Tamandua tetradactyla: one gene and its partners. The main gene of each other region encodes a partner of the protein of the gene in region 3 in a complex. Links are inferred from orthologs where the notes say so. Each region holds a gene or a part of one and is shown on either strand. Other genes may lie near its edges.

The links.
Region 1: LAMTOR1 (region 3) and LAMTOR2 share a complex: the UniProt entries of both Homo sapiens proteins name them as parts of the ragulator complex. The link is inferred for Tamandua tetradactyla from reciprocal best matches to the Homo sapiens genes LAMTOR1 and LAMTOR2.
Region 2: LAMTOR1 (region 3) and LAMTOR5 share a complex: the UniProt entries of both Homo sapiens proteins name them as parts of the ragulator complex. The link is inferred for Tamandua tetradactyla from reciprocal best matches to the Homo sapiens genes LAMTOR1 and LAMTOR5.

What each region holds. Positions count from the first base shown.
Region 1 is NC_135330.1:9,088,712-9,096,669, forward strand, and holds the start of LAMTOR2 (ragulator complex protein LAMTOR2), read left to right. Parts: upstream 1-4,951; 5' UTR 4,952-5,101; coding exon 5,102-5,169; intron 5,170-5,486; coding exon 5,487-5,649; intron 5,650-7,446; coding exon 7,447-7,536; intron 7,537-7,780; coding exon 7,781-7,837; 3' UTR 7,838-7,958. Other genes in the region: UBQLN4 (ubiquilin-4), read right to left, coding at 780-1,042, 1,617-1,834, 2,181-2,332, 3,834-3,941. UniProt on the Homo sapiens protein: As part of the Ragulator complex it is involved in amino acid sensing and activation of mTORC1, a signaling complex promoting cell growth in response to growth factors, energy levels, and amino acids.
Region 2 is NC_135337.1:12,520,975-12,528,655, forward strand, and holds the start of LAMTOR5 (ragulator complex protein LAMTOR5), read left to right. Parts: upstream 1-4,674; 5' UTR 4,675-4,778; coding exon 4,779-4,813; intron 4,814-5,681; coding exon 5,682-5,743; intron 5,744-7,620; coding exon 7,621-7,681. UniProt on the Homo sapiens protein: As part of the Ragulator complex it is involved in amino acid sensing and activation of mTORC1, a signaling complex promoting cell growth in response to growth factors, energy levels, and amino acids.
Region 3 is NC_135334.1:74,148,794-74,156,048, forward strand, and holds the start of LAMTOR1 (ragulator complex protein LAMTOR1), read left to right. Parts: upstream 1-4,239; 5' UTR 4,240-4,386; coding exon 4,387-4,428; intron 4,429-7,255. Other genes in the region: TOMT (transmembrane O-methyltransferase), read right to left, coding at 393-713, 1,176-1,372, 1,562-1,820. UniProt on the Homo sapiens protein: Key component of the Ragulator complex, a multiprotein complex involved in amino acid sensing and activation of mTORC1, a signaling complex promoting cell growth in response to growth factors, energy levels, and amino acids.

The DNA of each region.
Region 1 (7,958 bases), on a different chromosome or scaffold from region 3:
AGACCCGGGTTCAATTCCCGATCCATGCACTTCCCAAAAAACAACAAACAAGCAAAACAAAGAAAAAACAACTAAACAAACAAAAATTCAACAAAATGGTGCTGCAATAACGGGATACTCAAACGGAAAAAGAATGAAATGTGACCCCCACCATACAGCACACAGAAAAAAAAAAGTCACTTATCTTCTAGTGAGGTCAACACTGGTGCCCACAGCTTCACTGGGAAAACTCTCTCCTTATCCCCTGTCGGCCTGAGTAGGCCAGTAGATGAAGTTCCTAAAACCTCCTCCTCCAGGTCTCTCTTCTCCACAGGGCCATGATGATTCCCAAACATCCTACTCTCTTTTACTTTCAGACCTTTGCACTTGCTGTCCCTCAGCCCTGAATATTATTCCTTTTCTTCCCCTGACTGATTCTTCCTCTTCCTTTGGGTCTTAGCTCAGATGATACTTCCTCTAGGAGGTCTCCTCTGAGCTCCAGGATAGGGTGAGGAGCCCTTCTCTGTGCTCTGAGGGGATCCTGAACTGTACCTATGGGTAACACCAACCACACTGAAATACCTGTTTACCTATCCCACTTCCCTTTGAGACCAGGAACTTCTGCAAAGCTAGGCCTGTGTATTTTCATCACTGTACACCAGGGTTTAAAATATGGCTGCCGAATTAATGAATGAATGAATCAGTCAATCAGGCAGTGTAGGACAAGGCAGGAATAGGCTAGGTAGGGAATGCCTGGGCTCTAGGTATCCCCCTTCAACCCAACCTTCTCCCATACCCACCTGCCTCATGAGCTCAGGGTTGTTGAGCATGTGGCTAATCTCGGGGTTCCGCTCCATCAGCTGTTGCATCTGAGGGTTGGCCATGATCATGTGACGCATCAGGTCAGGGTTAGACATCATGTCCTGGACCAAAGGGTTCTCCATGATCTGCGACAGCATCTCAGGATTGGACATCAGCTGTCTCTGCATCTGTTGCTGCAGCTCCATGAAGTTGGCAGAGCCTAGGCCCAGGCTGCCCAGCCCCAGGATGCCCCCAAAACCAGCTGTGGGGAGGGGGCAGGGTCACCATCTGCCACGATAGCCCTTCCCTAACCTGGTCTCCAGAATGGGCCCCATCTGTCTCTGCCTCTCATATCTCCCTTTTCCACTTACTCCCATAGTCCCAGCCGTGATCCACGGCTGGCAAGATGTCAGTTTACTAGCCAAGACCTCTTTGATGGTAGAAGCTTAGATTACCCCGAGCTGAGCACAGTACCTAGCTCACCGTGGGCAACCACTGGCGGCTTGTTGAATGAACAAATAAATATTCTCTAGCTAACCCCAGCCAGGTCCACCACTTTCCCAAACTCACGGGGTCTTCCAAAATCCTGACCTGGGTTTTCCACATCCCCAGCCCCATTTCTCCCCTTACTGCTAACACTCAGCCATGTTCCCCTCCTTCAGGAAGCCCTCGCACACTGGTCTTGGCTGAATACCAGGGTCTGGAACCCTATGTCCAGAAGCCCCCCGCCCTCACCAGACCACCAGACCAGAGCAGGGACCATCCTTCTGCCTGCTCTTGGCTTTCCCTCACTCCCCAGACCAAGTAGGACTGTGTTCTCCTTTCTAGGGGCTTACAGAGTATGGAGGCGGGAGCACTGGGGGGTCCCTCCCCAGCCCCTGGGGAGGGACCGCCCCCACTGCTCCTTCGGCTTCCACTGCCAGTATCTGAAGTGGTGCTGCCAGAGGTAGAGGGCTGGGCAGGGGTGGCGGGCGAAGCAGGTGTCGTGGAAGGTGCAGAGGCAGGGTCTGGAGTGGAGGGGGAAGAAGCAGTCGTAGCAGCCGGATCTTGAGCCCTGGGGACAGAGAAAGGAGACTCTTAGGTGGGTGGAGTGGGCACACAGAGAAGCCACTGCTCTGATTCAAGCTACCTGCTGAGGGCCCCTGAGGCAGCAGCAGGGGAAGGGGTGGTCAGTAAACCAGGGAGAGGGAGGAAGGAGCTAGTCTTATCTGTCTTCAGGGCATTGTGGGAGGAGTAAGTCAATTTCCCTTCTCCTAGAGGTGATATCATAGTGCTGCCAGGCAGGACATCCTTGACACAGGCCGTCCAGGTCCAGCTGAGCCATGGGTGAGAAAATGTTAGACGGGGAAGGGAAAGGAGGGCCTAGTCAGAGGCTGGGCCTGCTCATCTTCTGAACTTACTTCTGAGGAGTCTTGATGACCAGGTGCACAGTGAGTCCATCCTTGATTCCATGCTGGTTCAGTGTGTCCCCATCCTTGAGGATCTTTCCGGCAAAGATCAGGACGAGCTGGTCCTGCTGGGCCTTAAATCTCCGAGAGATTTCCTCTTTGAACTGTGACCAAGAGGCAGAGGTCACTGAGGAGGCTGCCAGCCCAGACCCACCAGGGACCCTGCCCCTCTCCAAGAGCCTCTGGCATACCCTTGCTCCCACTCTAGTCACGGGAATTTCTTTCTGCAGTCTCTTCTCCACCCCTCCAGTTGCAATAAGCAGCTCCTTTCTTAACCAAGATGGACCAGTGAGAGGCTCCTCTCTCAGCTATATTCCAAGGTCTTCCACCCCAAAAGCCCTTGCTCTGACATCCTACCTTCAATCCCTTCACCCAACCCCCTATGAGGGTGCTAAATGGGCAGCCCTCTCCATCCCAACTCCTTCAACAGTTTTAGACCCAGGCCCCGTCTCCCTTCAGCCTTCTCTTCTCAGACTCCAACTTTCTATCTTTCTTTATTCCCAGCTTCTGCTTCAGCCATCTTTGAACTACAACAACAAATAGCCCTTGATATTCATCAGTTAACAGTCTAAATCCTGGGAGATATTATCTCCACTAGAAAGTTGAGAAAATTAAGGATCAGAGAGATTAGGCAATTTACTCTGCTCAGAATGGGACTCAGGCCTTGACACCCAAGCCCACGCTTGCAACGGCCTGGACACACTGCTTCTCAATTAAAACTGATTTAAATTTCAGCTTCGCAGAGGAAAGAATTTAAATTCTGGAATAGAGTCATTTTATAAAGTTGGGGGGCAGGGATGGCACCGAGGGCTAGCTTGGGGAGAGTTAGACTCCCCAACTATCAGCACACTCCCAACAAAAAATAACAATCATTCTGAGGAAAAACAGTGCACTTGCTAAGCAAAGGCAGCTTCCAGAAGCCCTCCCTTCCAACCAGATGGCCTATCTTAAGCCCCGCCTATGTGAAATTTTGGAGCAGCCACTGGGGGTGAGAAACAGAGGCAATATTCCCTCATTCACTTATTCAACAAATTTTTATTGAGCACCTACTGCACACTGCACAAACCCTAGAGGAGCTGACCACCAAAGGAAACCACTTCAATTTGAAAGAATCTGGGCAGAGGAAAATCCGCCCCCTACTACCCCAGGTTTTCTCCTAAAACGGTGGGCCTCCTCTGAGGCATAGAGTAGGCACCCGGTGCTCTCCTGCGTCCGTTCTCTTGTTTCAGCACCTTGCCTGGACTCCCTACTCTGCCATAGCGCCTCGAACCCCGACCAGTAACCCAGGGTTCTTCTCCCGTCTCTGTGCAAGTGCAGAGTGCTCTCTGTGCAAGGGGGCCCCCTCCTCACCCTCCACCACGCCCCCAGTCCTGGCCCCACGGCAAACCCCGTCCCCCCCAGCACACGCCATGCTCCCCGGATTTACCCTCGTAGGGCGCTCCCTACCAGCATCTCCTTCCCCACCGTTCCTCGGGGTTCCGGCTGGACCCTCGCCTTCCTGTCCGGGATCTTCCCGGACTCCCCGACCGTCCCTCAGGACCGCCCCCCCCCCCCCATCTCTCCGCAGACCCTTCCACGGCGCGCGGTCCCCGCCACCCATACTACCTCCTTGACCGAGGCTCGATCGCAGATCACAATTTCCTCCTTGTCCTTCGGGGTCTTGACGGTGACCCGAATGGGGGGCCTCGTCTCAACCCCGCTCGGCTCCGCCATGCCGCCGCCGCCGCCACCCGGCCGCCCGCCAGCCCGTCCGGGCCCCTCCTCCTCCTTCTCCACCTCCTCCTCCTCCTCCTCCTCCCCGCTAGCCCGGCCCGCCCGGCTCGGCTCGGGTGCCTCCAACACTCCCCTCTCCCCGCCTCTCCTCAAGGCTTCGCCACCCGCTCCGGACCTGCCGCAGCCACAGCGCCCCGGGCGGCCCGGGGGGGCCACTGCACCGGGTCCGCCCAGGGCCGAGCCCTGCGCCCGGGAGCCGGCTCTGGGGCTCGCCGGGCGGCGGTGGGGGGAGGGGCGCTGGGCGGGGGCGGGGGGCGTGCCCCTTGCCGCGGGGGCCCCGCCCCAGCCTCCCGGAGCCGCTGGGAGGTCCAGTCCTTCCCAAAGCTGCCCCCGCCCCCTCCGCGGGTCACTCCCGCGCCGGGACAAAGGACCTTCTGTGTCGCCGCTTTATCTCTGCTCCGTGAGATAACTTGGTCCTTCTCGGGAGGCCCAGTTCTCTCCAAAGGCTGGGCCTTCTCCCTCCTGACGTGAAGGCTGAATTTTCCCACCTCGGGACGTCCACCTAGGACCTCATCTCTACAACTGTCCCCATCCTCCCGAGGGATGGGGCCTTAATAAAGGACTGTTAAATATGGTTCCCGAGACCTGGGTTTGATCTGCGTGGCCTCGGTTTCCTCCTGTCTTTCTGAGCCTCGGTTTCCTCAAGATAATAGTACCTATCGCCTCATCCAAAAGAATTGTGTATAACACAGGACATTGCTTTGAAAAGTAACCAAAGGTGTACTTCATAACTACAAGGTTTTTCAAATTATTGAACCGTGGTTTGCCAAGCGGACGTGACGACTTCTCCCCGAAGGAGTTAAACCTCCTTGTAGGACTTCTGTCCTTTTACTCCCGCTCTTTTCCCCCATAACCGCGTGGTCTGACTGGAAAGGCAAACTATAGTTCCCAGGGTGCCCCGCGACCGCACAGGAACTACAACTCCCAGAGGCCTCCGCGGCGGCGGGGGTATTGAGTCAGACCCGCAATAGGCCGGGAAACTACAACTCCCAGGGCGGTCGGGAGCAGGGCGGCTGGACTACCGGGAGTGGCCGGCGGAGGCCAGCAGGCGGCACCTCGGCGGATCTGTGTGCGAAAGTTCCGGGTTCGGAGTCGCAGGCATGCTGCGCCCCAAAGCTCTGACCCAGGTGCTAAGCCAAGCCAACACTGGAGGCGTCCAGAGCACCCTGTGAGTGCGGACCGAGGACCCGAGCGGCGCGCGCTGAAGCCCGAGTCGGGCGGCGGGCGGCTGTCTGAGGGAGGGTTGGGGAAGGACCGCCCGGAAGGGAGGAGGCGGCAGAGGGGGCAGAGGCCTGGGGAAACCGGCCGGGAGGGCCCCTCTCGGAAAGGGAAGCGGGGCGTGCTTGAATGTCCGGGGCACGGTCCCGAACACCCTCGGCCCGGACACTTGCTTCCAAGAAGCGCCGGTAGTGGGGTTGTGATGGGACCCCAGAGGTCCTACTCCCTGTCTTAAGCACACCGATATCCCTCCCCACCCCTCGCCAGGCTGCTGAATAACGAGGGATCGCTGCTGGCCTACTCGGGTTACGGGGACACGGATGCCCGGGTCACCGCGGCCATCGCCAGTAATATCTGGGCCGCGTACGACCGGAACGGGAACCAAGCGTTTAACGAAGACAATCTCAAATTCATTCTCATGGACTGCATGGTATGGAGAGAAGAGCCTAGCTTCTGTCCTCCAATGGGGATTCCCACGGGGTGACCCGGATTCCGCCCGGATAGTCAGAGGGGCAGGAACGGGAGCTCTGGACGAGTACTAAGAGCTGGTGTGCGACAGCACTTAGAGTAAGCAGGACCCATTGCATCAGGTGGTGTTGAGGAGGGAGCCCTGGACCCGAGGTCTGATTGAGGTTCTGGTCTCTGCCAGCTACTTATCAGTTGTGGGACCTTGGGCAAGTCACTTAAGTTCTGGGAGCTTCCTTACTTCTCTAAGTTGGAAACAATACTCCTTCCCCCCACCTTTCCTGTCTCACACAATTGTAGTGAAGTTCAAATGAAAGAATGGATATCAACCATACAGTGAGGTACAAACACAAGGTGCTGTCATCCCAGGTTCAAAACCTTAGAGCTGGCAAGGTCTCCAGGACCTAGTCAACTCCTTTTACAGACAAAAGAAATGAAATCCAGAAAAAGGAAATGGACATTCCACTGTGAACTGCGTGGAAATAGGAACTGTCTCACTCATGTCTGTACATTCAAGAAATATTTACTTGAATGTAAATATAGTTTTCTCCAAACTGAAGGGAAAGTAGTAAACAGGATAGACAAAAACCCCAGTCTTCGTGAAGCTTAAAGTCACATATTTTTTATAATAAGCTTGGTTAAAAAAAAAAAAAGTTTGGTCATGGAAATGCTATGTAGAAAAATTAAGTAGGGAAAAGAGATAGAGATTGTAGGGGGCATGTGTTAGAGTCTCACTAAAAAGTTTACAGTTGAGCAAAGATCTGAAGGAATTTGGGGAGTGAGTCATGTGGCTGTTGAGGGAAAGAACTTCTCTGACAGAGAGAGCAACAAGTGCAAAGGCCCTGAGGCAGAAAGGTGCTTGGTCAAGGAACAGCAAGGTTAGTGTGGTTGGAGTGGCATAAGCATGGGAAAGAGTAGTAGAAAATGAAGTCAGAGAAGCAGGGGTGTAACACCTGGTGCCCCGCACACAGTGGATACCTAATGAAGGTCTGCTGAACCAAACTGAATAGACCCCAAGGTTGAATTGCCCAAAAGATTCTCCATGGAGACTCGGCTGGCTGACTACCTCTTCCCCATCCCCTGTCCAACCAAAGAGGCCATTTCAGTTCAATAGATGACTCCTATATTGTGCCTAGACTAAAGCTGGTGCTATAGGGCAAAGGTTTTCAAATATTCGCGACTGCAACCTAGCCATAAGAAATGCATCCACTAAAACAAAAGTTTCATGAAACATGCAATGCACTTCATTTCTCTTCTTTTTTATTTTTAAATGCTGATCTACTTTCTAAATTAATTTAATCCTAGGTCAAACCTCAGTTTGAAAAACCTTGTCATGGAAAAAGAAGATAAACATAAATTGGGTTACTATTCCCAAGCCCCTCTCAGTATCTTTGGGTTGAGCCCATAATAATGTCATCCATTTGGACAGGCTGTTACAGATACAAAACTCATTCATGTGTGATGGTACCCACACCAGCTAGGATGAGACAGAAATTACAGAAAAAGAAACTGAGTTTCTGATAGATAAATGAGTTTCCCAGGGTAACTTGGAGGTGGCTGTGCTGAAATTGGAAGCTGGGCTCTGGACTCTAATGTCCAAGGCCATGGCCAGAGCACCCCCCCCCCCCCGCCCCCCACCCACCAGCTGAACCTTCTGTGCCTTAGGCATGGAGGGAAGATAGAGTCTGTCTGGGGCAAGAGGAGCCCTTGTGGGAGGAGAGGGACCAGGGTGCCAAGCAGAACATCACATCTCCCCCACCAGGAGGGCCGTGTGGCCATCACCCGAGTGGCCAACCTTCTGCTGTGTATGTATGCCAAGGAGACCGTGGGCTTCGGGATGCTCAAGGCCAAGGTGTGTATGTGCCTCGTTCTTCCATAACCCTGGGCACAGCCTTCAAGCTCCATCACCATGGCCACTCCCAGCCCCACTACCTTACCCTTCTCACATCCACCCAGTGCATGCCTGGTGTGGGCTAATTCCTATGAGCGGGCTGAGGCTGGTGATCTGTGCATATGGCATTGGGGGTAGACCCTGGATTCAGGATCCCTCTACCAGCAAGCCAGTGTGGGACTAATTTCTGTTCTCCGCCTTGCAGGCCCAGGCCTTGGTGCAATACCTGGAGGAGCCCCTCACCCAAGTAGCGGCATCCTAATGGCCACAGACAGAAGCTGGGGTCACAAAGGAGAGATGACCATTTGGGGGGGCAGGGCCCCTGGGAAAACCTTCCTGAACTGGGGGAGGAGAGGAGAGGTTTTTTTTTTGTTTTTTCCAAG
Region 2 (7,681 bases), on a different chromosome or scaffold from region 3:
ACTAATCCACCACCAGGTAAATGCTTCAAATGTGGCTTTGACAGACACTGGTCCCGCCAGTGCCCCAATCCTCGACCACCCAAGGGACCATGCCCTCTCTGCGGGAAAAAGGGACATTGGAAAAGTGACTGCCTCTTGGCACCCAGCTGTGAAGGGGCTGTCCTTCCAAACCCTGACCCACCGCTGGCAGTCCTGGGCCTGGCCACCGACGACTGACAACACCCAGACTCAGTGACTCCGATCACCCTCGCTGAGCCCAGGGTAACAATCAAGGTAGTGGGTAAGTCCACCTCCTTTTTAGTGGACACGGGGAATACCTTTTCTGCCCTCCCCTCCTACTCAGGTCAATTCCTTCCTTCCCAGGTCACGGTTATGGGCATAGACAGCTGTCCTTCGCACCCCTTAACTACTGGACCACTTACATGTTTAATAGAAGGGTACCCCATTACACACTTTTCTTGGTGATGCCTTCTTGCGCCAGCCCACTAATGGGGCAGGATCTTCTCACCAAGTTAGGGGCCTCACTTCACTGGATACAAAAACCCCAAACAAATTTACCATTACCCTTATGTGTGCTGTTCTAGTTTGCTAGCTGCTGGAATGCAATATACCAGAAACAGAATGGCTTTTACCAAGGGGAATTTAATGAGTTGCTAGTTTACAGTTCTAAGGCTGAGTAAATGTCCCAATTAAAACAAGTCTATAAAAATGTCCAATCAAAGACATCCAGGGAAAGATACCTTGGTTCAAGAAGGCCGATGAAGTTCAGGGTTTCTCTTTTAAGTGAGAAGGCACATGGCGAACACAGTCAGGGCTTCTCTCTTGGCTGGAGAGGCACATGGCGAGTACGGCGTCATCTGCTAGCTTTCTCTCCTGGCTTCCGGTTTCATGAAGCTCCCCGGGAGGTATTTTCCTTCTTCATCTCCAAAGGTTGCTGGCTTGTGGACTCTCGGCATCTCATGGCTACATCATTCTGCTCTCTCTAAATCTCTCATTCTCCAAAATATTTGCTCTTTTATAGGACTCCAATAAACCAATCAAGACCCACTCAAATGGGTGGAGACATGTCATCGCCTAATCTAATTTAACAACCACTCTTGACTAAATCACATCATCGGGGAGATGATCTCATTATAGTTTCAAACATACAGTATTAAATAGGAATCATCTACCTTTATGAAATGGGATTTATATTAAAACATGGCTTTTCTTAGGGAGCATACTTCCTTTCAAACCAGCACATGTGGCCTCCACCTCCACTCAGGGTTCCACCCCTCCCGCTCTTCCCCTACCACCTCACCTAGTAAACCCGGAAGTATGGAATACCTCAACTCCCCTGATAGCTTCCCATCATAAACCAGTTCTTATCTGACTAAAAGATCCATCCTCATTCCCATCTAGGCCACAATTTCCTATCTCCATAACCCATCAGAAAGGACTCCAACCCATCATTAACCGGCTCAAGGGAAAGGGACTCCTCATACCCACTAACTCGTCTTATAACACCCCCATCTTGCCTGTCAAGAAACCTGATGGTTCTTAACATCTAGTACAAGACCTCTGACTAACTAATGAGGCTGTCATCCCCATCCACCCAGTAGTTCCCAATTCATATACTCTTCTCTCACACATACCTCCTCATACTACTCGTTATTCTGTCCTGGACCTTAAAGATGCCTTCTTCTCAATCCCTCTAGACCCTGCCTGTTACAATTTATTTGCCTTTACCTGGCAAGACCCAGACTCTTCAGCGGCCCAACAACTTACATGGACGGTATTACCTCAGGGGTTTCACAATAGCCCCCATATCTTTAGCCAAGCTCTAGCCAGGGACCTAATAGAGTGCAATCAAACTCCCAGTTTCGTTCTCCAATATGTAGATGACCTATTAATTTGCAGCCCTTCTGAAAAAAACTTCCACAAAGCCTACAGCCACCCTGTTAAATTTTTTAGCTGACAAAGGATATCGAGTCTCCCCTGCCAAAGCTCAACTTTCCTCCTCCACTGTTACCTATCTGGGGCTCCGCCTCACTCCTACATCCCGACATCTAACAGTAGACAGCCAGCAAGCCCTTTGAGAACTCCAAAACCTCCAGAAAACATTGAACAAATTTTATCCTTCCTAGGTTTTGTGGGGTTCTTCTGACATCGGGTCCCCAGCTTTTCCCTCCTAGTGAAGCCTCTTTATAAGGCAGCCAAGGTGGCGCCCATGGGAACCCTAGATGACCCCTCTACTGTAGCCAAAACTTTCTCCATTCTCCATGATGCCTTACTTCAATCACCTCCACTTGCTCTTCCAAATCCTAACAAACCCTTCTTCCTTTTCACTGATGGAAAGCAAGGAATAGCGGTGGGAGTCTTAACCCAACCTCTGGGACCAACTTATAATCCAGTAGCCTATCTCTCTAAACAGATGGACCCCACTGCCTGTGGATGGCTTCCCTGTCTCCGAGCACTGGCTGCAGCTACTACCCTAATGCGTGAAGCTCTTAAACTTAGTCTGGGTAGGCCTCTCCAAGTCCTGTCGCCCCACCATCCACAAGACCTGTTATCCCATAAGTCTCTCTCTCTCTCTCTGCTCATTCCTTCCCGTCTCCAGGAATTTCATTTGTTCTTCCTAAAAAACTCAGATGTCACACTCTCTGCCTCACCAGCCTGTCTTACGTGGCTCCAAATCCTCCAACAAACCTTAAATTTCCTCAACCAAACACAAATACTCCCTAAAGTAACCCACTGTTACCTCTGTGCATCATTAAATAAGCCACTATTAGCAGCTGCCCCTATAAATCTAATCCAAATACATAATCATAACCCTGATTCCTGCCATACCACTCTAAAGAACACCCCCCGATGGGAACCAGAGCCTGAAAACCTTCCCTACCCCCTTAAAACCTGCTTCCTCACACACACACAACTGTAAATCAGACAAAACTTCATAATAAATGCCAAACTAACGTCACTATCCACAACACCACCCATCCGCCAAAGGACAATATTTCTGGTGTAATGGAACCCTTACCAAGTGCCTTAACTCCACTGCCCCGGGACCATGCTTCCTGGTAACTACTGTTCCTCAATTAACTCTCTATAGGGAGTCCGAACAAACTTGGTTACTGCCCTCTCCTCACTCCAAAAGGGCTGTCTTTCTTCCCATCCTGGTAGGCATCAGCCTAACTGCCTCAGTCGCAGCCTCAGCTGCAGTGGGAGGGGCACTGGGACATGGTTTTTTTTTTTTTTTTTATTAATTATTTAGATTAAACCAAGGTAACTTAACAGAACACTTTGAGACATGGTATTTCAACCTCTCAAAACTCTGAGACTCAACTACAGGTAGCCCTGGAATCAACATCAGAATCCCTTTCCTCTCTACAACGTCAACTTACCTCACTAGCCCAGGTAACTCTTCAAAATTGACCGACCTTAGACCTGCTAACCATCGAAAAAGGAGGAACGTGTGTATTCCTTCAAGAAGAATGCTGCTATTACGTCAACGAGTCAGGTCTGGTGGAACAAAATACTCACACCTTAAACAAACTAAAAGAGGATCTCTACCACAGAAAACAAGGAACCAGCTCTGCCTTAGACTGGTTTTCTTCCCCCCTGGTGACATGACTCCTCCCGCTAGTAGGACCAGTTATCCTAATCTGTCTCTTTTTTCTCCTAGCTCCCTGTCTCCTCAACCTCCTTCAGGGACGCATGAAGGAACTGTCCCAGCTAGCAGTCAACCAAATGCTCCTGCATCATTGCCACCGCCTACCCTCCTCACCTGATTCCTATAGCTAACCTACTCCCTCTCCTGACCATGACAACCCCAGCCCATCACCCCACGTCGCCCCAGCACAGCAGAAAGTAGCCAGAAGAACCTCAACGCCCTATTATCACAAAAAGGCTGGAATGTTAGGTTGGGGGAACCGTGAAGGGCACTGCAACTGGAGCTGCAGAGGCTGTGTCGCCCCTCCCAACATGGCTTCTGGAGCCACCCCTTCTGGACACCTGACTTCCGGAGAACCGCCCCTTCCGACGTCACCTGACCCGCTTGCATAAAAACTGCCCACGCCATCACCCATTTCAGACTCACCTTCCTCCATCTTGGATTCCGTGAGCTCTTCCCGGGAGCACAGAAATAAACCTGCCCACTTTAAATTTCCCGGTCTACCTTCCCTCTTCCTCAGCCTTTCGCCTCCTAAACCTTTCATTTTTAAATAGCCTTACCCAGTCTTCTTTAACAGTTAAGATTCATATGCCACTTTCTTCCCCAAAACTTTCCTGCACTCTCCTACCCCATGGAAGTACCCATGTCTTTGTCTCTGACACTTTACCAATTCAGTACCCAGCTGGGGGGTTTAACATGATGCCACCTCGCGCCTTAGTCCTTTGTGTGTATGTGTTTCTCCCTAAAAGCCTGTGGGCCCGTCATAGCGGTTCTGCGTCTCTTCTCCACATCTTTGATTAAAATCCAAAGGTTAAAAATCACTGAGACAAAGTGAAAGACCAGAAACCAAAGACAAAGAGGCCTGGCTGTCGACCCTCTCCGGGGTGGGAAATAACTCGCAATGCCGGCCTCCGCAGGGGAGCCCGGAGTGGGTGGAGCACTAAGGCTATCCAGGAGCGGCATGGCGTCTCCTGGTTACAAACGCGGAAGCTGCACCGCGATCTATTTTGATCCTTCAGAGCTGCCATCCAGTCTGCGTACCACTCATGCCACGTGACGGAGGAGCCCCTACGATCTGTGGCCGAGAAGTACGTGGTGCGCTGAGTGATCGCGGGCGGCCAGCGGAATGGAGGAGACTTTGGAGCAGCACTTGGAGGACACGTGAGTAGTGCAGACCTCTTCGGCTTGTGCTGAGGTCGCGGCGTTGAGGCTGAAGCGGAACAAAGGGCATGTGCTGCGAGTGCTACCCTGGCGTCTGGGAACACGGAACAACCTCCAAGGCGCGGATGTGACTGTGAGGCTTGCTCTGGGGCCGCAGGGCGGGGCCGTGACCCGGAATTAAAATCTCTCCGGGTTGCTTTGCACACTCCCTCCCGGAGCGAGTCTCCGGGATTCAAATCTGAGGCATACTACTCTGGTGTCGTTATTTCGGGCGTTTTAGGGAATGGGTTATGTTTTAGAAAGGATGTACCACGTGTGCAAAGTGGAACCCTGCATTGTAAACATAAGCAGACACACGTATCTCCTTCCATACGAACCAGCTACTTGGTGCTTAGGGGGATGATGGGTCATCCCTTATTTTTTTTAATGAATGATATTTTTGTAAGATCCGGATTGGGAAAGTTTAAGAAGGCATACAGGGAAATATACCTCACTCCCACCACTGTACTCCAGCCTCTCAATTCCCTTCCGGGAAACTCCTGTTACTTAGACTGTTCCAAAAATTGCTGTACTTGAGTTAGTATATTAAAGCTCGCATTGAGCAAAGGGAACCCTGGATATTACAATGTTTGTGACCCTCCAAAGGTAAATTATACCTGACAATCTTTTTGTTTTTGTTAGTGAGAATTAATTTAAGTTAATTGGTTTTATTTTTTCTAGAGGCGGGGAGGGATGATAATGAAAAAGGCGTTGAGAAACACTGATTTAAAGCACTTAACAACAGTGCCTGGCATGTATAAAGCCTTAATGTGTTATGGTAATTTAAGCCCATGTTCTCTCTTCATCCCGCCTCTATTTCTGGAACTAGAATGAAGAATCCATCAATTGTTGGCGTCCTGTGTACAGATTCACAAGGACTTAATCTGGGCTGTAAGTATCTTACACCAAACTTTTGGTGTGTTACAAGTATCTGATATTGACCTGGAGTCAAGTGTATTAATGCTATTCTCTAGCTTTTATTTCTTGCTGTCCTGCCACTTTGAATTGGTATTTAAGAAAGTAGGACCATTCCCTGCAGTTCTAGAATTAAAGCATTTGGCTCTACTAAAATAGTATTTGAATCATTTTAAATTGCATTTAGAAGGGACTTCAGGTAATGACAGTATTAACCCTTTATTGGATGTATGCCATATGCTGGAATTGTACTAGCCTTTATCTGCATTTTTTCTAGTTTTCACAGTAATCTTGGATGGTGCTATTTTTTTAGTCTAACATACACGTAACAATAAGTGAGTAAACAGTAAAATGTATTCTCTTTTAAATGTACAGCAGATTCAGAGCCAGAAACATCTGGGTTCAACCTCATGCTCTTCCATTTGCTAATAGTGTAAACTTAGACCACTTCTGGGCCTCAGTTTCCTTACTGAGTTGTTTAATAATTATACTAATAATAGAATTACATTTATTGAGCTCTTGGGCTATGTACCAGGCAGCATTGTAAGTGTTTTAGATATCATTCATTTAGTCTTCATAAAACCCTATGAGGAAGATAGCCGCTTTCCCAGTTTCCTTGAGGCAAAAAAGTCAGGTAACTTGCCCAAATTCACATAGCTAGCAAGTGGTTGAGTTAGGACTTGAATCTTTCTCCAAAACCTCTTAATTACAACACTATAAAATTATATCATATGTGTAAAACACTCAGCACAGAACCTAGACATAGTAATAAAGAGTCACAATTACAGATGAGGAAATAAATCCAGAAAGATAAATAACCAAAGCATTCAGTTAATGTCAGAACTAGGAAGTCCAGGACTCTTTACTTCTAACAAGAATTTTTTAAACTAAATTTCTTGCTGGAAGGATAACTGAAATGGGTAATATTTGTAATAGTTGTGTTCCTCACAGATTAGTCAGTTGGAAGAGAAAAGGCAGATTTTTCTAAAATGCTTGCCAGGCTCACTAATGGAAAGGCTGAAATTCAAGTATGGAAATTTAAAACTAAGTCAGTTTCTTCAAGAAAGCTTTAAGGCCTTAAAGGCTACACTGTGGCCAGTTAAAAGTAAAATCAGCAATAGTTAATCCATAAAAATGGTGCCATAGTTGCAAGACTGTTACCCAACTTAGGTGCAAGCACAATTTAGGCATATGTTACCTCAATGAAAACATAAAGTAAACTTAGTAATTACTTTATTTTCTTGGGACCCTAAATTATTTACCTACAGGCTAAAACAAACATTAATAAAGAGGCAGTTCTTTTGACATTTGAAAACAGCTAGCTTATTCTTGCCAAATTGATTGTTCACTGATTGTATTCACAGGTGCTGTCAAGATGGTCTTATGATTGAACTCCCAAGTTCAATTATATATCCTTTGAGGTTGAGCTCAGTGAAAAGAAATCAGATTTCCCAGGAGAAATTAATTAGTTTCACAAGTCTCTTGTCCTTACTGACTTCTTGTCAATCTCACCTCTGAATTTTTTTGTTTTCAGTAAGGTCCTAAAAAATGAATTTCTTTTAGATTGATTTGAATTATAGCTTTATATCGTTGGAAGGTGTTTCAAGATGGCAACGAAAATGACTTTGAAAACTGAGTGTTGTCCTCACATTGTTGATTTAAGAACTGTTGTCTTTCTCATCTAGTAGTTATAACCAGTTGATTATCAGGGCAAAAGCATTTCACGTCAGTACCTAACATAGGAGACAGTTAACTGAATCTTGTGTTTGTGAATAATTCAATGATAGCTCCTACTATAACTCCTTACTCATTTTTGGACAGTCAGGTGACATGATATCATCTCTGTCTTCTAGGCCGTGGGACTTTGTCAGATGAGCATGCTGGGGTGATATCAGTTCTAGCCCAGCAAGCAGC
Region 3 (7,255 bases):
CCTACCCAGGATTACATGGGCTGGGCAGGGGAGGCCCCTGGAGCGCTCTCAGCTTTTTCTCATAGTGTTAGGAGAGAGGACTAAAACTCAAGGAATGGGGGTCAACCACTCCCCTGGAGTCACCCAATGAATGACTGTGTTGGGAGCTCAGGCCTCTTGCCTCTCAGTCCATGGCTCTCCCTGGAAGGAAGGGAAAAGTGGGACTAAGAACCCTGACAGATCTTGGTGCCACAGGTCAGTATGGAGCCTGGGAGAGGGCAAAGATAGGAAGAGAGCCTCCCTAGTCCTGAGCTCAGCCTGTGTCAAGCCACAAACAGGGAAGAGGATTTTCTGAGGTCCTTGCATGAGTAAGTGGGTGGGTGGGGCAGCACTAAGTACCTCTGACCTGGACCTCAGCCAGGTCCAGCATAGGTGAGCTGGGCAATGCCATCCTTGATGGTAGGAAAATCTGGGAGGCCAGTGTGGTGGAGGCGGCAACGGTAGCGGCCACAGCTCTTTGTGTACTGCAGGAAGCGGGGTGCACCAGGGAAGAGCACATGGTCAGCCAACACAGTGGCACCAGCTGGCAGTAGGGCATGGGCCTCCAGCAGCTGCAGGTCCTCCAGGTAACATCGGGGCCGGTGTGCCAGGAGCACCAGCTCTGCCTGGCTCAGTCCGTGCTGGGCTCGTAGGTGCGGAATTACCTCCTCTGAACTACCCACGATGAGCTCCACCTGTGGGGGTGGGAGGAGCTGGAGGTGAGGATTGGGGGGATTGCTCCCCATCCCAAACCCCAACAAGATCTGGCTTACTTCACTCCAGGCCCTGGCCTAGGTCCCTACAAGTGTTTCCATATTTCCTCTGGCCTCACAGCCTATGAAGTTAGGATCAGTATTGTGATTCCCATTCTGCGCACGAAGGGGTCACACAGCTAACAAGAGGCAGAGCTAAGAATTATGGGCCTAGATATGCCAGACTTCAGAGACTAACGTCTTAACTCTTTCAATCACTCAGCAGAAAATATGTGCAAGTGACTTGAGACAGAAGGATATGAGCTCACTAACCTTCCGGGATTAGAGCCCTTAAGTGGAGCTGCTTCCTTCTCCATAGGTGGGATCCCCCACAGGGGAATCCTGATCAGGGCAAGGCCTAGGGTGGCAGAGCGGAGACTAGATTTTGAGAGGTGGGGGACTGACCGTGCGCTCATCAAAGCCAGCCAGGCGGATGAGTTTTTCAGCCACTGCTGCTGTACGTGGGTCCCGCTCCACCGTGAGAATATGACCCCCGGGTGGCAGAGCGCAGGCAATAAGCAGTGTAGAGTATCCACAGTAGGTTCCCAGCTCTAGCACGCAGGCAGGAGCTTTCTCCTCCACCAGGCGGGTCAGGATCTGCCCTGGAGGAAGAGATGGTTGTTGCAGAAAACATGGGAGATGGATTCAGGACCCCTACTAGAAAGATCTTGAATGTCTCACTGCCACGCCCAGCCAGCTGGGATCCAGTTCATATGGTAAGGCAGAGGCAGATCCTAGACCTTCATCATTTGGGAAAGTCTTCCTGGAGCAGAAAGCTAGAACACACCGACCTTTTACAGGCCCCATGTGGCTCAGATATTCACAATGGCTGCTCCAGTGGTCCAGGGTGGTGAGGATATGGCCAGGGTCCCCAGGCAGGGCATGCGTGAGCACGTAGCTGAAGGCCCGCTCCTCGATCCGTAACCCTGACAGGGAGTCTCGGAGGCTCCGCAGCAAGACCATGCGCACCAGCAGCCGGAAATAGTGCCGGTACCGCACCAGCAACGTCACCACCAGTGGCAGGAAGGCCAGTGCTATGGCAGGGGACATGGTGTTCCCTCCTGTGTCCTGGGGTGGGAGGGAGGAAAACCCGTACCCATGATTTGCCTGCCATGTGTGCAGCAGCCCTTAACACATATTACCCTTATGTTTTACAAACCAAGGAGCAGAAAGGCTGTCTTTTGTTCAGAATCATACAGTAGAATTGGGATTTGAAAACTGGGTGGGTATCATCTCAAGCCCATGTATTTTCAAAGACTCCATGCTTTGAAACCCCTTCATCCCAGTCCTGACCCAGCCCCATCTTCACCTTTCTTTCCTCACCTGTTTGTCCTCATTCCTTTAGTCACCCCTTCTTCAGGACTCCTTTTACCAGTTCTTCTCTAGTGTCCTTCCTGCATCCCGCTACCTGGTCTCTTCTGACCCATTATTGTGTGGCAAGAGAACACAGCTTTGTGTTTTGAAATCCCTTTTATTGTCATTATTCTTTGTCTCAGTAAGAGACAATCAAAACACTTATATCATAGGGCAAGATATCTTTTTTCCTATTCCAGGACTCTCCCTCTGTTTTTTCTTCCCCGGAGGTGGGGGAATCCTTGATTTTACATTTCTTCTCCAGTTCTTTCTCCCATCCCTGCATTCCTCTGTTCCACTGTTCTTTCCCTCAGTATTCCCTGCACGTGACTTTACACACAGAAACACACACTATACACTTCTCCCCTACTCACTCCCCATCTTTAGGGCCCTCTTTGGGAGATTGGTGCCCGCTCCTCTACCATGCCCTCCATTAACATCTCCCTCCACCAGATCTGACCTTTGTAAGGACCCTAGTGGTGATGGTGATGGTGGAGGGGGACTAAAAGTGAGAGAAAGAGTTATGAATGGATGTGAATAGGTGAGTGATGGTGAGCTTATGCTGGTGTGCTTGGAAACCCACACTCAAGGTCCCAGCTTACCTGGGTTGGAGGCTTCTTCTTGGGGAAGACCGGAGCACAGGACAAGGGGAAGTTCTTGGGGTGGGAGAGAACTCTGAGGCAGGAGGCTGAAACTGTTTTCAATTATTGATGATGAGGCTGCTGCTGTCACCTGAGACCTGCGATTTGAGTTACTAGACCTAGAGACAGAGTAGAGCTGTCTCCAACCCTTTAGGAGACCTCAAAGAACTTACAAAACTCTAGGGTCTTAATTTGAGGGTTAATAAGAGATACTGAGTCTGGTAGCTGCAAATTCTTAGAACATGAAGGATGATGTGAACCAAGGTGATGGAGGGGCTGCAGTTTATTCATTCACTCAAAATTCAAGTTTTCTCTAGGTGTGACTTGTGCTTGGATCACAGGGACGAGTCAGATTCTGTTTTTGTCCTCCAGGAACTCCCAGTTTGATAGAAGAGACTGACCAGAAACAAATATGATTCAGTGTGATCACTAAATTAGATGCTCCATGAGTACAGGGATTTGGAATTGCTTTGTGAACTGCTGTATATCTAGTTAGAACAGTCCCTGGCACATACTAGACACTGAAAGTATTTGTTGATTTAGCAAGTGAATGAATAAACATTGACTTAAAAATGAACACTGGATAGGGATTATGCACAGGGAGCTAGAGATGCCAAGAAAATGGGATCAGAGAAAGTAATCAAGAGGGTATTATGCTTGTATTTGCTTGACAGAAGTATGGTAGGGAGACAGTGTACCAGTGTACACCAGCTACATGTGTAAAGCCCAAGAAATCAGTCGGGAAAGTGCAAGTATTTCCCTATTGCTGGTGAGTACTCCTCCCCTCCCACCCCCCTCAATCCCAGCCTGGAATGGGATGCAGGTCTTAGGCTCTGCAAGATCTTGAAAGACTTGTTTTCAGGGCCCAAGGGAAGACATGAGAAGTTTCTAAAAAAAGACTGATGGTCAGCTTCATGCATTAGATAACTATGTTTAAAAAAGCTGGATTGAAGTAAAATGCCTGAGGACAGGAAGACAAGTGAGGAGGCCTCTATCTCCTCCACCAAGATTAACTGCCACCCTGCTTTGGCTGGTGAAAGCATAAAGCCCCTTCTTCCAGTAGGTCTTAAATCTCAGGGCCAGGCTGGGAACTCCTCTGGGCGCCACCTTAACTCGCGCGCTGGTGATGTGGGTCCAGAATTTGTGCTCCAGATGTGTAGTGCCGTGATTTTACTTGCCCCTCGCTGGCACTTAGAAGAGCATATCATTTCAGCATTTGGGATAAGAATTCGTTTCTGACCCAGAATGACGGTCTCGAAGCACACGAACACATAACCTGATGACTAGCAGGAGGACCTTTTCCACCACGGTGGAAAGACTTTCAGAGTTTAGATAGTGGGAGAAGGTAAAATCATGTGACCCTGCCAGGCCCTTTCCTCATCACGTGTCTTGCGTCTAGTTCCGCTGAACGTATCTTCCTATTGGTTGATGATGAGCTGTATGGGGGCGGGGCTAAAATCAGGGCTGGGCGGCGAAGGCGAAGAGGCTCTGGGAAGGGGGAGGGAGGTACGGGTGGTGGTGGTTGTTGCCGGCTGGGATGTAGCCAAGGGTCATGTGACCGGAAAGGCTCCTGACGGACGCGGTCCCTCCGCGCCGCCTGAGCGCCTGGCTCGACCCCCACCATGGGGTGCTGCTACAGCAGTGAGAACGAGGATTCGGATCAGGTGCGGTCGTGGCGGGCAGGGCTCGGGAATGAGGGCTGAGACCGTGGGTCGTGGGGCCTAGGGAAAAGCCCTCTAGAGAATGGGGAGTCGGGCCGCTTGGCTCCCTAGTACGGTGGCCAGGAGGGGACAGATTACAGAGAGGCTTCCCGGCCGGGCTCTTCCCTGTATTAAGGTCCCAAGTCTCTGCACAGTCCTTGCCTGTGGGCGTGCAGGCGACCTCCTTTCCTTCTCGTATCCCTTCGCTCCCTACCTTCAAACTTTCTTTACAGCTTAAAGGATCTTCAGTTTAGGTCCCTGGAAAGCACTTCGTTCTCAGCTTCCCGTGCCTTCTCTGTGCTTGTTTTAGCGGGCGTTGTGAATCCATTATAGAGGTGGGTAAGCGGAGTCTGTAAGTTAGCCTATCCCGAGATGAATCAGGAGTTTGTGTATCCTCTCAGTCCTTGAGGTTGGAGAAGACCTTGCCAGAGAAGTCCTCTGGGAGTTGGTGGCATTTAAGTTAGCCAATGAAGTATTTAAGAAGTGGAGACAAGTGAGGGCCACGGGACTTATGGGAAGTTGTTTGGAAAGCAGCAAATTGGATTTAGCTTTGGCTTGGATTGGGAGGAAGAGAGGTGGGATGGGGAGCTTATTTGATACTGATTTTGGCCTACCTCAGTGCAGTCCCTGCCTGGAGCCTAAGGATTCTTCTTGCGATGGGGGTTGCCTCCCCTGAGAATTTGCTGTAGATCTGACCTCCTGGGAAAAAGTACTAAGTTGGGGAGACCTGTACAGTTTTGATCACCTTAAAGCCTGGCTTTATAGTTCTGTACATTCTGTATACACAGACAATAAAAAGATTTCATCAGGTAGCTCGCAGTGGGGAAGATATTCCCAGAAATAGATTATGTCAGTGGTACTTGTGAAGTCAGTTGCACCAGTTCTTGGGTTAAGGACTTAAGCTTGGAAAATGTCATTTGTGTGGGAGACATAGTCCTCATTAATCGACCAAACACCCTTTGAGTATATTTCCATGTTTCTTAGGTCTTATTGTTAGACATGAATCATGCTCAAAATCTCTCACTTCACTCCAGATTGTCAGAGGAGGAGACAGTATTCCTGCCTACTGGGAGAGTCATGTCCTAGTGGGAAATTGTTCCTTCTTTAAAGCAGAACATGGACTTTTGCAGGGAATGAGTCAAGAAGAGTTAATGCCTTATGAAAGAAAGGATACCAGCTTCTTAGCTGGATGGGAGATCTGGGTTTGCTTGCTATCTTAAATCTCTATCTTCTCTATTATGGGCTGTCATTTCTGTTTCTAACTCCCAGAGAAGGCACTTGATCACTGTTGAATGATTTGAGATCTCATGTGGCAAAAGCAATAATTACTATCTTGTTGTTTTGGGGGTGGGGGTTCTGTCCCCACACCTCTCTTTCAGCTCTTGGATAAGTTCCTCTCCCACTTACATTCTGCCCTCTTATTATAATAATAAAAAGAAACGTTTAACACATTTGTTTTCAAAGGGCTTTTACATTTATCTAATTTGATTCTTAACATACATTTGTTATATAGGTAGGGGTTATCTCTATTTACAGGTGAGGAAAAGGTTCAGAGAAGCAGAGTGATTTAACCAAGGTTACAAAGCTGAGAAGTAACACAGCCGCTGTTCTGATGTCAAGCCATGTGCCAAGCTGTCTCTTCCAGCTGTCCTCACCCACTAGGCCATTCATAGGCAGAATACATCTGTGTCTGTGCTAGGTTAGACAGTGAAACGCTGACTCCTGGGTTACATTGACTCAGACAAACCACAGTGTTCTTTTACCTCCCCCATGCTGTCCTTGCCCTTGGAGGTGGGGTAACATTTGTCAAATATGATGGGTGTCTTCTGGAAGTCTAGGTCTCAAGATAGAACCTTGCTCTTGGAGAACGAATAGGGGAGAAACTGCCCTGTCCTGCAGGAGGAGCCATCTGAGGTGGGGCTGTTGGGAAGGCCAGATATAAAGGAAGCAAACTTAGGTCCCATTATAGAGCCAGTTTCCTTAGAGATAGTTTACTGTTTGGCAAGCATTTTGTCTTTCTAGCCCTTTAATCCTGATCCTTTGTTTTTGGAAGGGAAAGAGGGTATCTGGGAGTTTGGAGGTGAGGGGGCAGAAGCTTATACCTTATGTCTTGTGTATGTTTGGAACTAGCCTGAGCACACTTGGGTAATCTTTTTTTTTGGGGGGGGGGTGCATGGGCCGGTAATTGATCCCGGGTCTCCCCCATGTCAGTATTCTGCCGGGTAATCTATTCCTGAGGAGAAAGAGTGAGGTGAAAGGGCTGGGCCTGCGTGGAAGGGCAGGAGGAAGTAGCCCTGTAGGAGAGTTGTGGCCTGGGGGTTGCTGGGAGCCTGCAGCAGGAAAGTGTGGTAGGAATTGAGATAGGCCTGCGGTAGAGCATTGGGGAGTGCAGTGGTCTGGCACTGAGGTTTGGTGAGTCAGCATTAGCCAGGGTGGTTCTCCTGTCCTTGACTTTGTCCTGGGCACCCTTGCTTTTTATGACTCGGATAGATACCCAACAGATCAGCTTATCCGTTTGCTGCTGACATAAAATCAGCAAGGATTTGCAGTTGATGGGCTCAAGGTAGAATCATATCCAGAAAGAATATAGTAGGTTAGAGCAGTACAAGAAGAAATACAGAATTACACAAGATTGGAGAGAATTTCTTTGGCCCCAGGTCAGGTCTGAGGGTTATGGTTATCAGTATAAGCTAGTAGTAACAGGCCTGTGAAACCACATTAATGGTGGCTTGAGAGAGAGGAAACAGCTCTACTGTTTCTACTGGTCAGGATACACCAGCTACACTCAGTT